Drosophila melanogaster: one gene and its partners. The protein of the gene in region 1 interacts with the protein of each later gene in a pairwise test. Each region holds a gene or a part of one and is shown on either strand. Other genes may lie near its edges.

Region 1 (3,753 bases):
CTAACTGATAAAAACAAGCCCCATATGGCGTCGTGGTCGAGGTATCTGTTTGCCCAATTAAACAAATTTTTCGACGCGAAGAAAAACGTTTCGTTGATTTATGATACTCAGCACTTCCGTTTGGATCCGCAGATTCTCCGACTTGTATAAAAGTACAGGAGTCGCCGGTCTAAGATATTATTCGGTTCGTTGCTCCTAAAGCAAACAGATCATCTAAAATGGTAAGGATCTCCCATCTGTATTGCGGATTATATTAGTTGGCATATTATTCTATTTCGATTTTTCCCTGTAGAAATTCTTTATCTTGACCTTGGCCGTGGTTGGCTGTGTGGCCGCCGAATCTGGCTACAACTACAATGCTCCCCGCCAGGTAGCCGCCTCTGCCCCGGCTCCTGTTTTCCAGCAAGCTGCCTCTGCTCCGGCTCCAGTGAGGACCTACGTGCCCCCAGCTCCAGCTGCCTCTGCCCCAGTGCAGTCGTTTGCCCCTGCCCCAGCTCCAGTAGCTGCTCCTGCTCCCGTTTTCCAGCAGGCCGCCTCTGCACCCGCACCAGCCCGCACATACGTGCCTCCCGCTCCCCATGTCCACCACCATGCCGCCGCCTCAGCTCCAGCTCCCGTTCAGTCCTTTGCTCCTGCTCCAGCTCCCGCCCCCGCCCCCGTGCAGTCCTTCGCCTCTGCTCCAGCTCCTGCTTTCGAGTCCTCCGGACCGGTGTTCGAGGCCGCAGCTTCCGCCCCCTCTGCCGCCCGCTCCGGATACGATTATAGCCAGCCCGCCGCCAGCCAGCAGGGATACAAGTACAAGACCGTCCGTCGCCGTGTGTTCAAGCACCGCGCTTAAACGATGATGATGATACGATAAAATGCGACAATAAAAAACTCGAATATTAAATTTATAAAAACATAGTTTTATTTGAGCATTAAAACACTAATAAAGATAATATGATAATTTGATAATTAAACAAGAATGATATGGTGTATAGTTTTAGCAAAAGAAGCGCGCAAAAAAAAAAACTATAAAACCTAAAACAACATTTCAAAAGTGCTAAAATTCTTGCTAGAAAAGAAAAAAAAAATCGCAAAATTAAATTTTATTAATAATTGTTAGTTAGTACTGGAGTGCAGTTTTTCTTATCCATAACTAACAATCAGTTGTTAATGATAAATTAGTTTGAAGCTTCAATTGTATTACTAGGCCAAATTCACACCTGGAAACGAAGTTCAAAGAACCCATGCGTTATCGCATAAGTGTGCAGCGCACTTGGGCCAATAAATTTAAACGCTTTGATCTGACAAATTTACGGGACACTTTCGTTGTGCTTCAGAATATTCAATAGAATTTAAATTGGCGGCTATTCAATAAGAACAAATGGGTCACATAAAGCGCGGAATCGATTTCTCACGCTCGGCAACAGGTTTCGCTTTCAACTGTGGTCTTTTTTGGGGGCTCGATGTGGGGATGCAACAAAAAAGATCCCGAAGAGAGTATATAAGTTGCATCTACAGCTGCTTACAGTCACTGGCACTTTAGCAATGGTAACGGATCAACGATAGGTTCTAGGTTCCGCATTTCACCAATCCATTTTTATTTTAGAATGTCCTCGTGATCCTGGTTCTATGCCTTATGGCAATCGCATGTCTGGCGGACGTTTCCCATGTGAAACACCACAAGCACCAGCGGCATCATCACTCCAGGGATCACGAAGATGACGATGAGGAGTCCCATTACCTACCTCCCCACGAGGAAAAGGAGGTGGAGCAACCTTTTTACAAGAAGGAGAAGCACACCAGTGAAAAGGTGGTTTACCACAAGGTAGAGGAGCACGAGGAGCCCAAATACTACAAGGAGCATCAACATGAAGAGCCCAAAAAGCAGCGAGTGGATCACTACCATCACTATGACAAGAAGCCAGAAGTAAAGACCCAGCACATTCACTACAAGCATAGCAAGCCCCATGTCCGTACGGATTACAATCAGGACTTGTTCACCCCAGCTGCTACCCAAGTGGTTTATCGCCGCCGTCGTCCTAGTCGAATTCTATACGCCAGTGCCCCCAACTCGGTGTTCCACACCCACACGCAGATCAACGTGCAGTCCCAGGATTCGGAATTGAATTCCCTTACTCGCCCAGATCGTGCAGCAGGAGCACAGGATCCTGCTGGGGCTCAAGCACCGACTGGAGCCCAGGCACCAGGATTTCGACCCAACTGCCAGTTTGTTGGACCTGGAAACGTACCACCTGGCTGTGGACCCTCTGATCCCATAGGTGCTCAGCTACCAGCCAGTGCTTTGGCTCCCACTGGTGCTAATCTTCCGGCCAATCAACCTGTTGCCGGCGGACAATTGGCTGTTCTGGGTAACGGTCAGCGACCTCCACGTCCAGGTGGCTATGGAGGTGGATATGGCAACCGACTCAACTTTTTTGTTGATCCTTCGCTGGGCGCTCAGCTGGGAGCCATAGGTAATGCTGGAGCTGGAAATCAACAGGCTGCCGGAGGAGGTCAGCTTGCGGGAGGAGCTCAACTTGGAGGGAGCCAAGGATTCGACCCTTCCTTTGGTGCCCAAGCAGCTGCCGGAGGACCATTTAACACTGGTTTTGGAGCTGGTCAAAGACCTCAAAGACCTGCGCAAAACCAATATGATCCCAACCTTCAGCTAGGTGGCCCTTTTGACCCCTCCGTGGGTGCTCAATTGGGCGCAGGTCAGGGTGTTTCTAACCAAAGACCAAGTGGACAGGGAGCATTTGATCCTTCTACAGGTGCTCAATTGGGCGCAGGTGAGGGTGTTTCTAACCAAAGACCAAGTGGACAGGGAGCATTTGATCCTTCTACGGGTGCTCAATTGGGTGCAGGTCAGGGCTTTAACCAGAGACCAAGTGCACAGGGAGCATTTGATCCTTCGACAGGTGCCCAACTTGGAGCTGGACAAGGCGTGCCTAACCAGCGACCCAATGCAGCTGGACCAGGAGCTTTTGATCCCAATCAGCGACAGTCCGACCCCTCCATTGGAGCCCAATTGGCAGCGGGACAAGTACCACGCCTCAACAACCGACGACAGCGCAATCGATCCAACTACCAGGGTCTCAATGTGCTGAATGGAAACGTTTTCGGACAACCCCATCTCCAGGGACCCACAAATGCGCTGGGAAATCAACAGGACACCAACATCATAGACGGCAACTTCTACAGCGATCCTCATCATGGACACCAGCGGGCTTTGGTATCGGTTAATCCTAATCAGCGTTCAGTCCTTATACCCGATGACGATGATGCGGACGATGATGGGCAGCTAGGATTTCTGGGCTTTGCGGCTAGTAACAAGCAGTCCTCTTATGTGGTTGCTCCCAAACAACTGCGATCTCATAGGCGCAGTTCAAAGCGAAACAATGTGGATCTTAAAACATCTGCTTCGGAGTACGACACTGACTATCGTGAGGATGGCTATCACTACCAGAAGCCCAAACAGTCATTCGAGTTTTAAGTATTTTAAAACAGAACATATTATAACATAAATTAAATCATACTTATCAGCATTTGCTACAAGAGCATACCAAACAAACCTTGATTACTTATTTAAAGCATACTTTCAGGCGAAAACTATGGCGGCTACTTCCGTTTCCGCTCAAGGTAGCTTTAAAGTTTGTTGAGAAATCGACACGGGTTTTCAAGCTGAGCTTTATAAATTGAGCTTTTGATTAAGCTTTACACCAGACTACAAATATCTATATTGCACATAAAAATATCCAGATATTTACC
Region 2 (3,753 bases), on another chromosome or scaffold:
ATTGCACTTATGCCAGTGAGCCATAGCCTCTTTTATGGCATGATCTGTCCAGCATTTGTTGGCCTCTTTTAGCCTAAAAACATAGAATAGTGAAATAAATTTTAAAATGTATGATTTATAATTACTAACCGAAAGCACAGCATGAGAATATCCGCACACACTTGCGATGTAATAAAATCCTTTTGAAATATGCCGGCACAGAAATACCTATGTAGTTCTATGTTACCCACTAAATACAAAAGACAACCAAACGCATCCAATACTTGATTATAGCGTTCGCCGTGAACAAAATTTTTAGCATCTGTGGGCTCAGTAAGTAGTAAGAAATAAATATGATCGAATCGACACCTTACCTTTAAACAAATATTCAAAAGTTTGTTGTAATGTTCGGCAAGTAGATGGGAGCACATCCGCATCGTCTGTAGACACAGCATTAATAAAATCCATGCAAGCGTCGAAGTAGTCAAATTTTGGTGTACCAAGGACACTGGATATTAAATACTAAAAGGACAAATTTTAGTAACATTAACAAAATCTGATGATGTATTGTATGAATGAATAGTTTTCAATCAAAGTCTATCCGAAGACATTTATTTGCAAGCGATTTCTGAATTTCATCTTACTTCTTGACATTTTTGGAACTTGTAAAGCAGCTCTAAAATATCTAGTACATGTGGTCGTACTAACACAGAAATTAGCTGTTGCTTCTCGATGTCAGAGTAATGTGATGGCCTCCTAAAAGAAAATACAATTATTGCAAATAACCATTTCATTTTTCAAACTTACGTTCGTTCACACATTATTAAGTCCATCAGACAAACAGCTACATCATCATCAACATACACCACACCTTTTTGAAGAATATGATATAACAATACAATGTAGGTCCTGATACCATCTACAAGCTCCTCTAACTTTTCCGCAGGAACAATACGATTGTCCTAAAAAAAATGTCTTGTTAAATAAACTCTTTTACAAATCGTAAGCTTTGTTATACGAACGATGTCAAAAGTACTATTCAAGTGAACGGTAACCACATCACATAGATGAAAAACAGTTTCCCTAAGCCAATTGGGCAGTTTTTCGTCTGTAGGATTAGCATGCCAGGTTGTCATGAAGTGCAAGCAAATATGAGCCAACGTCTCGCCTGTCTGTACAGATAACTGCAGATCACCAGTGCGTGTTCCTTCGGTATCTGCGATTTCCATTATCTTTTGCATCACTGACAATTGTTTAATATAAAGTCTATAATTAGTCTACAACAACTTTCAGATAATACTCAAATTTTTGGGTGTATCAATTCGTTAGTATTCCTAACTTACAGGTCGCAAGGCGAGGGTGGACTTCTGTCAAATTAATGATAGAATCCTTTATTAAAGAAAGCGTTTCGAGTTGAAGATCCGCAACAATCTGGCGATGACTCTTATCGCTGAATGATGTAAGCAAAAATATATAGAAATATTTTACATATAGGTTTTATCCAAGCCCCTCTTACCACATTAAACAGAAGTCGATAATTGTAAAGACAAGATAGGCAAGGATTTGAACCAAACGTTCGCCTGCTTCCAGCAATCGATCCCTGAATGTGGATACAAATTCTTGTGCCACAGACATGAGTTTTATATGACCGCTGTGGACTTCATTGCCAGTTTCTGCTTCCTGAGGACGAATTTAAAGTTAATAGACTGAAGCGCATTGTGTAAGAATTACCTACGATCGTGAACCACTTGCACATTTCCCGAGCTGCTAGTACACAATACCCGGAATCGTCGATGTATGCTCCTAATAGTTTGGTGAACCACAATGTCAAGACATCCACAGGATTCGCGGATTTATTTGCGATACATGCTGAGCAAATGGAAACCGCCGAATCAAAGTCTATCATCAGGATGATGTCCTTCTGGTCTATAGCCACCAGCTCACTGTAGGCTACAGATGCACCCAGGCTATCATGGTTTTCGGACATCTTTGCATTGAGTCTAAATCGAAATATTCAGTGTGTTTACAAAATGATCGCGCCCATAGATGCGGAATCTTACCTGTCTAGAGCGTGACTATTGTCGATTAATTATAAAATGTATTATTAATTTTATAGTGAATTTTTTCTTATTACTCGCCAATAATTCTGCGGTTGAAGTAAATAAAAAATTTAATTGAATTTAAATTAAAAATGCGTACTAAATACAGCTAACCACTCACACGGAGCAAAAATTAAAAACGTATCGATAGTTATATACCGATACAGAAGACAATACTTCCATCACTAATACAGCGCACGTTGTTTTCCTTTTTTATTTCGTTGTATTTTTATTTACCGAAATGCAACGAAAGGAGGCCAATCCCTTTCAGATCCTGGGCCTACGTCCATGGTTGGTTAAGCAGCTGACCAAGTTGGGTAATGTCAAGCCGTCCACGGGTTTACCCAAGTAATTAAACCATTGCGCTTTCAGGCCTGAAGGGAGCAACTCCAATCCAACAGAAATGCATCCCAGCGATATTGGCGGGCCAGGATTGCATTGGAGCTGCCAAGACGGGCTCGGGCAAGACCTTCGCCTTTGCCCTGCCCATTCTGGAGCGGCTGAGCGAAGAGCCAGTGAGCCACTTCGCCCTGGTGCTGACGCCCACGCACGAGTTGGCCTATCAAATCTCCGAGCAGTTTCTTGTGGCTGGACAGGCGATGGGGGTGCGCGTATGTGTTGTCTCTGGCGGCACAGACCAAATGGTCGAGAGCCAGAAGCTTATGCAGCGACCGCACATCGTGGTGGCCATGCCCGGCCGTCTCGCGGATCACCTAACCGGCTGCGACACCTTCTCCTTCGACAATCTGAAGTATTTGGTTGTTGACGAAGCGGATCGCATGCTGAACGGAGACTTTGACGAGAGCCTATCCATCATTGAGCGCTGTTTGCCAAAGACAAGGCAAAACCTTTTCTTTTCCGCAACCATGAAGGACTTCATAAAGGAGTCCAGCATATTTCCCATTGCCAGCGATGTAAGTTTTATGAATACCCTGTTGAATGGTACTAATAGATATCTTAATCCGAATGTAGTGTTTTGAATGGTCGCAGGACTCAGACGTGGCCACTGTAGAGACTCTGGACCAGCGTTATCTGCTGTGCGCCGACTACGATCGCGACATGGTCTTAATAGAGGCACTAAGAAAGTATCGCGAGGAGAACGAAAACGCTAATGTCATGATCTTCACCAACACAAAAAAGTTAGTTGCACAATAATAGGAAGTAAATTCTAAGGATTTAATAACGAATCATTTTAGGTACTGTCAGCTTCTCTCGATGACACTGAAGAACATGGAAATCGATAATGTTTGCTTGCATGGTTTCATGCGGCAAAAGGAGCGCGTAGCTGCTCTAAGTCGCTTCAAGTCCAACCAAATACGTACACTGATCGCTACGGATGTGGCCGCCAGAGGTCTGGATATACCCAGCGTCGAGCTGGTTATGAATCACATGCTTCCCCGGACACCAAAGGAGTACATCCATCGCGTAGGCAGAACAGCAAGAGCGGGGCGCAAGGGCATGTCCATCTCCATATTCCGCTTTCCACGCGATCTAGAGCTTTTGGCCGCCATTGAGGAGGAGATCAACACCAAACTTACAGAGCATCCCATCGATCGTAAGTTTTGTTGGAATTAGTGGCACACAAAATAACTATCTTTAATATATATATTATATAAATTAGAGCGCATGGTGGAGAGAATCTTTATGCAAGTAAATGTCACGCGCCGTGAATCAG
Region 3 (3,753 bases), on another chromosome or scaffold:
TACGTTCTTGATCATGTTCCAAACGATTTTAGCGAACGGCTGGTTGCGCCTTCGCATAAACTCACAGGCGTCGAAGGTGTAGTCGAACAAAAAGGGCTTATACCCATTGGCCTTCTTCATCATCTTCATGTGAAGGTATATGTTTTTCGCTGGTTCTATGAATGTGGCATTTATGTTCAGGCTGGTCTTGGTTCGGGAATAGGCCTTCAGGCGACAGTAGTGAACAACCACCCACGATTTGTTGTACGACTTGCACACAGCATTCGTCATTTTAGCAAGGGGTGCCTCCTGGGGGAAGCTTTCAAGTATTTATAAAATATATAATATGTTATTGGATCTCTTACACCGCAGACCAGAAAGCCAAGTATTACCGAAACAACAAAAGCGGCCCGCCTACGATTCATGGCTGTTTACCACTCCGTTGAAAACTGACGGTGTACTGGTAAATAAGCTTCATTAAATACAAATTTTAGTTGAAACCCTATTAGCAGATGTGGTAAAAACGATGTATCATGGAGCCATTCGACTGGAAAATTACGTAATGGTTATGTATGTACATCGAAGATCATTATACCAGTTGCATATATACTTCTGTTGGACGCGTGTGAACTTCTGAGTCCTAGAAAATAAATCTATACTTTCCATTTTACAGGATCTACTTCCCTTTCAAAAACCAATGTTCTCGGGAACTGAGTTGTGAAGTCAGTTAGTATCTGAGTAAAAGGGTCTCGATGCAATTTTTGTTAGTTATTCAAATTCTAGTGTCGTTACAATTTTCGTATTTTTGTGAATAGCAACCGAATATCAGTTCCGTAAGACGGGGAACTCCTTACTGCCCCTTCTGTGCTTCGAGCTCGTCGGCAGTAAGTCCTCTATAAATGTGAAATATACATTCGTGGCGAACTGCGTTTTGCCATCGAACAACCAGTCGACCATTAGTAGATAGTCCCCAGATGGCAGTGGCACAGGAATGTCGACTTTGTGAAAGTCGCTCAGCATCTGCAAGCCCTGAAAGATGGAATGGGTTATGTCCCTAAATAGCAGTTTGAGGAGACCTCACCTCATAGGGACAGGTGTGGTTGATGGTGGACACGTTCCGGATCATGTACCAGATGATCTTGGCCACTGGCTGGTTGCGCCTTCGCATGAACTCGCAGGCGTCGAAGGTGTAGTCGAACAAAAAAGGCTTATACCCATTGGCCTTTTTCATCGTCTTAAAGTGAACTGATATATTTCTGGCCGGCTCCACGAACGTGACATTTATATTCAAGCTGGTCTTGGCTCGAGAATAGGCCTTCAGGCGGCAGTAGTGAACAACCACCCACGATTTGTTATACGATTTGCACACTGCATTTGTCATTTTGAGATAGGGCGCCTCCTGATGGAATGTGTAGCTTTAATTGAAATGTAATTAGGTCCTACAATCCGATTTCTTACTCCGCAGCTTAGATAGGCCACTAATAGCGAAACGGCGAAAATGAAAACCTTGTGATCCATGGCTCTTGGTCGGTCGACCACCCGTGGATAACTGACGTAACCTGGCTCTTTAGCTTGAATATGTGTTCTATTTTTGATCAAATTGAATTGATGGTTAAGTGGAGAATGCGTTTATTACATTATCATTAAATATCGATTTAAAACGGTTAATAAATGTTTCAATAACACCAAATGCAACCAGCCAATACACTTTTAGAGGCTGGTACTGATCGAAAACTCGAAACCACTTGACACTCGAAGTAAGTTAATATTCCTCTAAATAGGTGAAATACAAATTCGTAGCAAACTGCGGCCTTAAATCGAATAGCCGGAAGTGGAACATGAACTTCAATGTTATGAACGTCGCTTACCACCTGCAAGCCCTAAAATATCGAAAAATATTCCGACAAACTGGATAAAGTGACCTTCAATTTTCACTTGAATCATCCATCTATTCTAATTTGAACTTGGCCATTATTTATTCTTTGCGCGTAACCCATGCAGAAAATAACAAAAGTACCTAGGTAAATCGATATGGAAGCACAGTAGTCCAGGTGTTGACATATATTTTGTTTATAAGCGAAGCTTTCCTGTTTTCTGAGGAGATCATACATACAACACCCTTGCCGAATCAACAACATTACGAACTGATCCTATATTCATGTTGCCATAGCCAAAATGAATGTGTGCAAGCCCAAGGAAGTGGGTCCCGATGGACTTTTTGTCCGGAAGCGCTTTACGCGGCATCCGGTGGTGATCTCGGCCAAGCGGTTTGCAGCCATAAAGGGACGTTCTCGCCAGGATGAGAAGCATGCCCAAATGGAGGCCGTCGAGGAGGAACGCAGGTATCGGCAGTACCTGAAGGACGGCAACGAGCTTCTTTGCAGCCTGTTCACAGATCCCAATGCTCCGAAGGTCAAGAAATCAGCTAGGGCGCAGAGCAAGGAAGCCATGGCAGTGGTAAAGGATGTGGACACAAAGTTGGCGGACGAGCGGCTGCGCAAGCAAAGGATCTTGCGAGCCAATCGTCTACTGGATCAACTGAAGCCCGGACCCCGCGCTCTGCACCAGGCGCTCATTTACAGCGAAATGATTCATCAGAGGAAGTACAATGAGGCCCTTAACGAGGAGATAGCGGAGGCAGCCCGTGCCCAGGAAAGGGCCGATGAGGAGATGTGTCCTGCGGCCCTGGTGCCCTTCGGCCACGCCACCGAGGAGGAGGAGGTGGCCAGGCAGACCGCGAAGAATATGGAACATGCCGAGCTCATGCGGGCGGACATCGCGCAGCGGGCAAGGATCAGGGAGGCCGAGCGGGAGCAACGGGTCTTCGAGGAGCAGGTGGATCGGGCTCAGTACAAGTGTCTGCAGGACAAGGAGGAGAAGGCGCTCAAAGAGAAGAAGGCCCGGAAAATCGCCTTCAATCGAAAGGCCTACAAGGAGGCCCTCCAAGAGAAGGCGGAGATTGCAGAACGTAAGTACTATTTAGCAGAACTGGATATATTCATATTATTCCTCATCCCCAGACGAGCGGATTTGCGACGCCATTGACGACCGGCGCAACTGTGTTTACATCGTGGCTAGTCGCAATCTGGACAGTCGCTATGGAAGCCACGTGAAGCAGCTGCGGCAGAAGCGTCAGGAGGAGAGGGAGCTACAGGCACTCCGTGTCTCCCAGGCGCAGCAAGTGCTTCAAAAGAAGCTGGAAGAGCGCCAGATTGACGCGGAGGACCGCCATGCCTTTGAGACGCAGGTGGACGACAGCCGGCGTCAGTGCGAAAGGGAGATGCTGGCCAAGGAGCGCCGTGCGTATCAGAAATTGGAGCGGAAGCAGGACGCCGAGAAGCTCCGCCGCCAGCAGGAGCTGCAGCGCTTCCATGTGGCGCGCCGCCTTAAGAACGCCGAGGCGAATCGCTTCTTCGATGCCTCTCAGAAGCGAAAGAGGGACAAGGTAAAGGAGGAGCTGCGCAACGTTCTCTTTGGCCAGCGGGAAGAGTTCCTCGAGAAGCGGCGCGCCGAGCTAATGAACCTGGCCGCCTGCAATGAGGATCCATACCTGGAGGATGACAAGAAGTTCTTTGAGCAGGCGGTCGAGATCATGGAGGAGTCGAGAAAGGTGGGGCGACCTCTCTATCCCATTGCCACCGCCGTAGATCGCTACGAGCGGCAGAACCAGCTGGACATGCGACCAGAGGGCAGGATGGTGAAGAGAAGCAGTCTAAGGGACTACTGCTGGCCAGGATTCTTTTCCAAGGCGGAACTGGCGTACCGCAAGTACGA

What was found.
Region 2: the proteins of CG11349 (region 1) and CG13742 interact in a two-hybrid assay, tested with the Drosophila melanogaster proteins (one large-scale study listed by BioGRID).
Region 3: the proteins of CG11349 (region 1) and Crtp interact in a two-hybrid assay, tested with the Drosophila melanogaster proteins (one large-scale study listed by BioGRID).

The regions. Positions count from the first base shown.
Region 1 is NT_037436.4:4,471,547-4,475,299, forward strand, and holds CG11349 (uncharacterized protein), read left to right. Parts: upstream 1-1,521; 5' UTR 1,522-1,530; coding exon 1,531-1,533; intron 1,534-1,591; coding exon 1,592-3,478; 3' UTR 3,479-3,549; downstream 3,550-3,753. Other genes in the region: CG32248 (uncharacterized protein), read left to right, coding at 219-221, 293-838.
Region 2 is NT_033778.4:9,085,592-9,089,344, forward strand, and holds the start of CG13742 (uncharacterized protein), read right to left. Parts: upstream 2,042-3,753; 5' UTR 2,040-2,041; intron 1,980-2,039; 5' UTR 1,967-1,979; coding exon 1,715-1,966; intron 1,660-1,714; coding exon 1,496-1,659; intron 1,430-1,495; coding exon 1,323-1,429; intron 1,223-1,322; coding exon 1,002-1,222; intron 942-1,001; coding exon 787-941; intron 736-786; coding exon 624-735; intron 502-623; coding exon 354-501; intron 302-353; coding exon 130-301; intron 127-129; exon of another isoform or gene 74-126; coding exon 1-73. Other genes in the region: Dbp45A (DEAD box protein 45A), read left to right, coding at 2,320-2,395, 2,451-2,992, 3,051-3,217, 3,275-3,633, 3,700-3,753.
Region 3 is NT_033778.4:24,492,452-24,496,204, forward strand, and holds the start of Crtp (Caldesmon-related protein), read left to right. Parts: upstream 1-2,066; 5' UTR 2,067-2,154; coding exon 2,155-2,947; intron 2,948-2,999; coding exon 3,000-3,753. Other genes in the region: CG13589 (uncharacterized protein), read right to left, coding at 1-288, 345-404; CG13590 (uncharacterized protein), read right to left, coding at 805-1,008, 1,061-1,378, 1,438-1,497.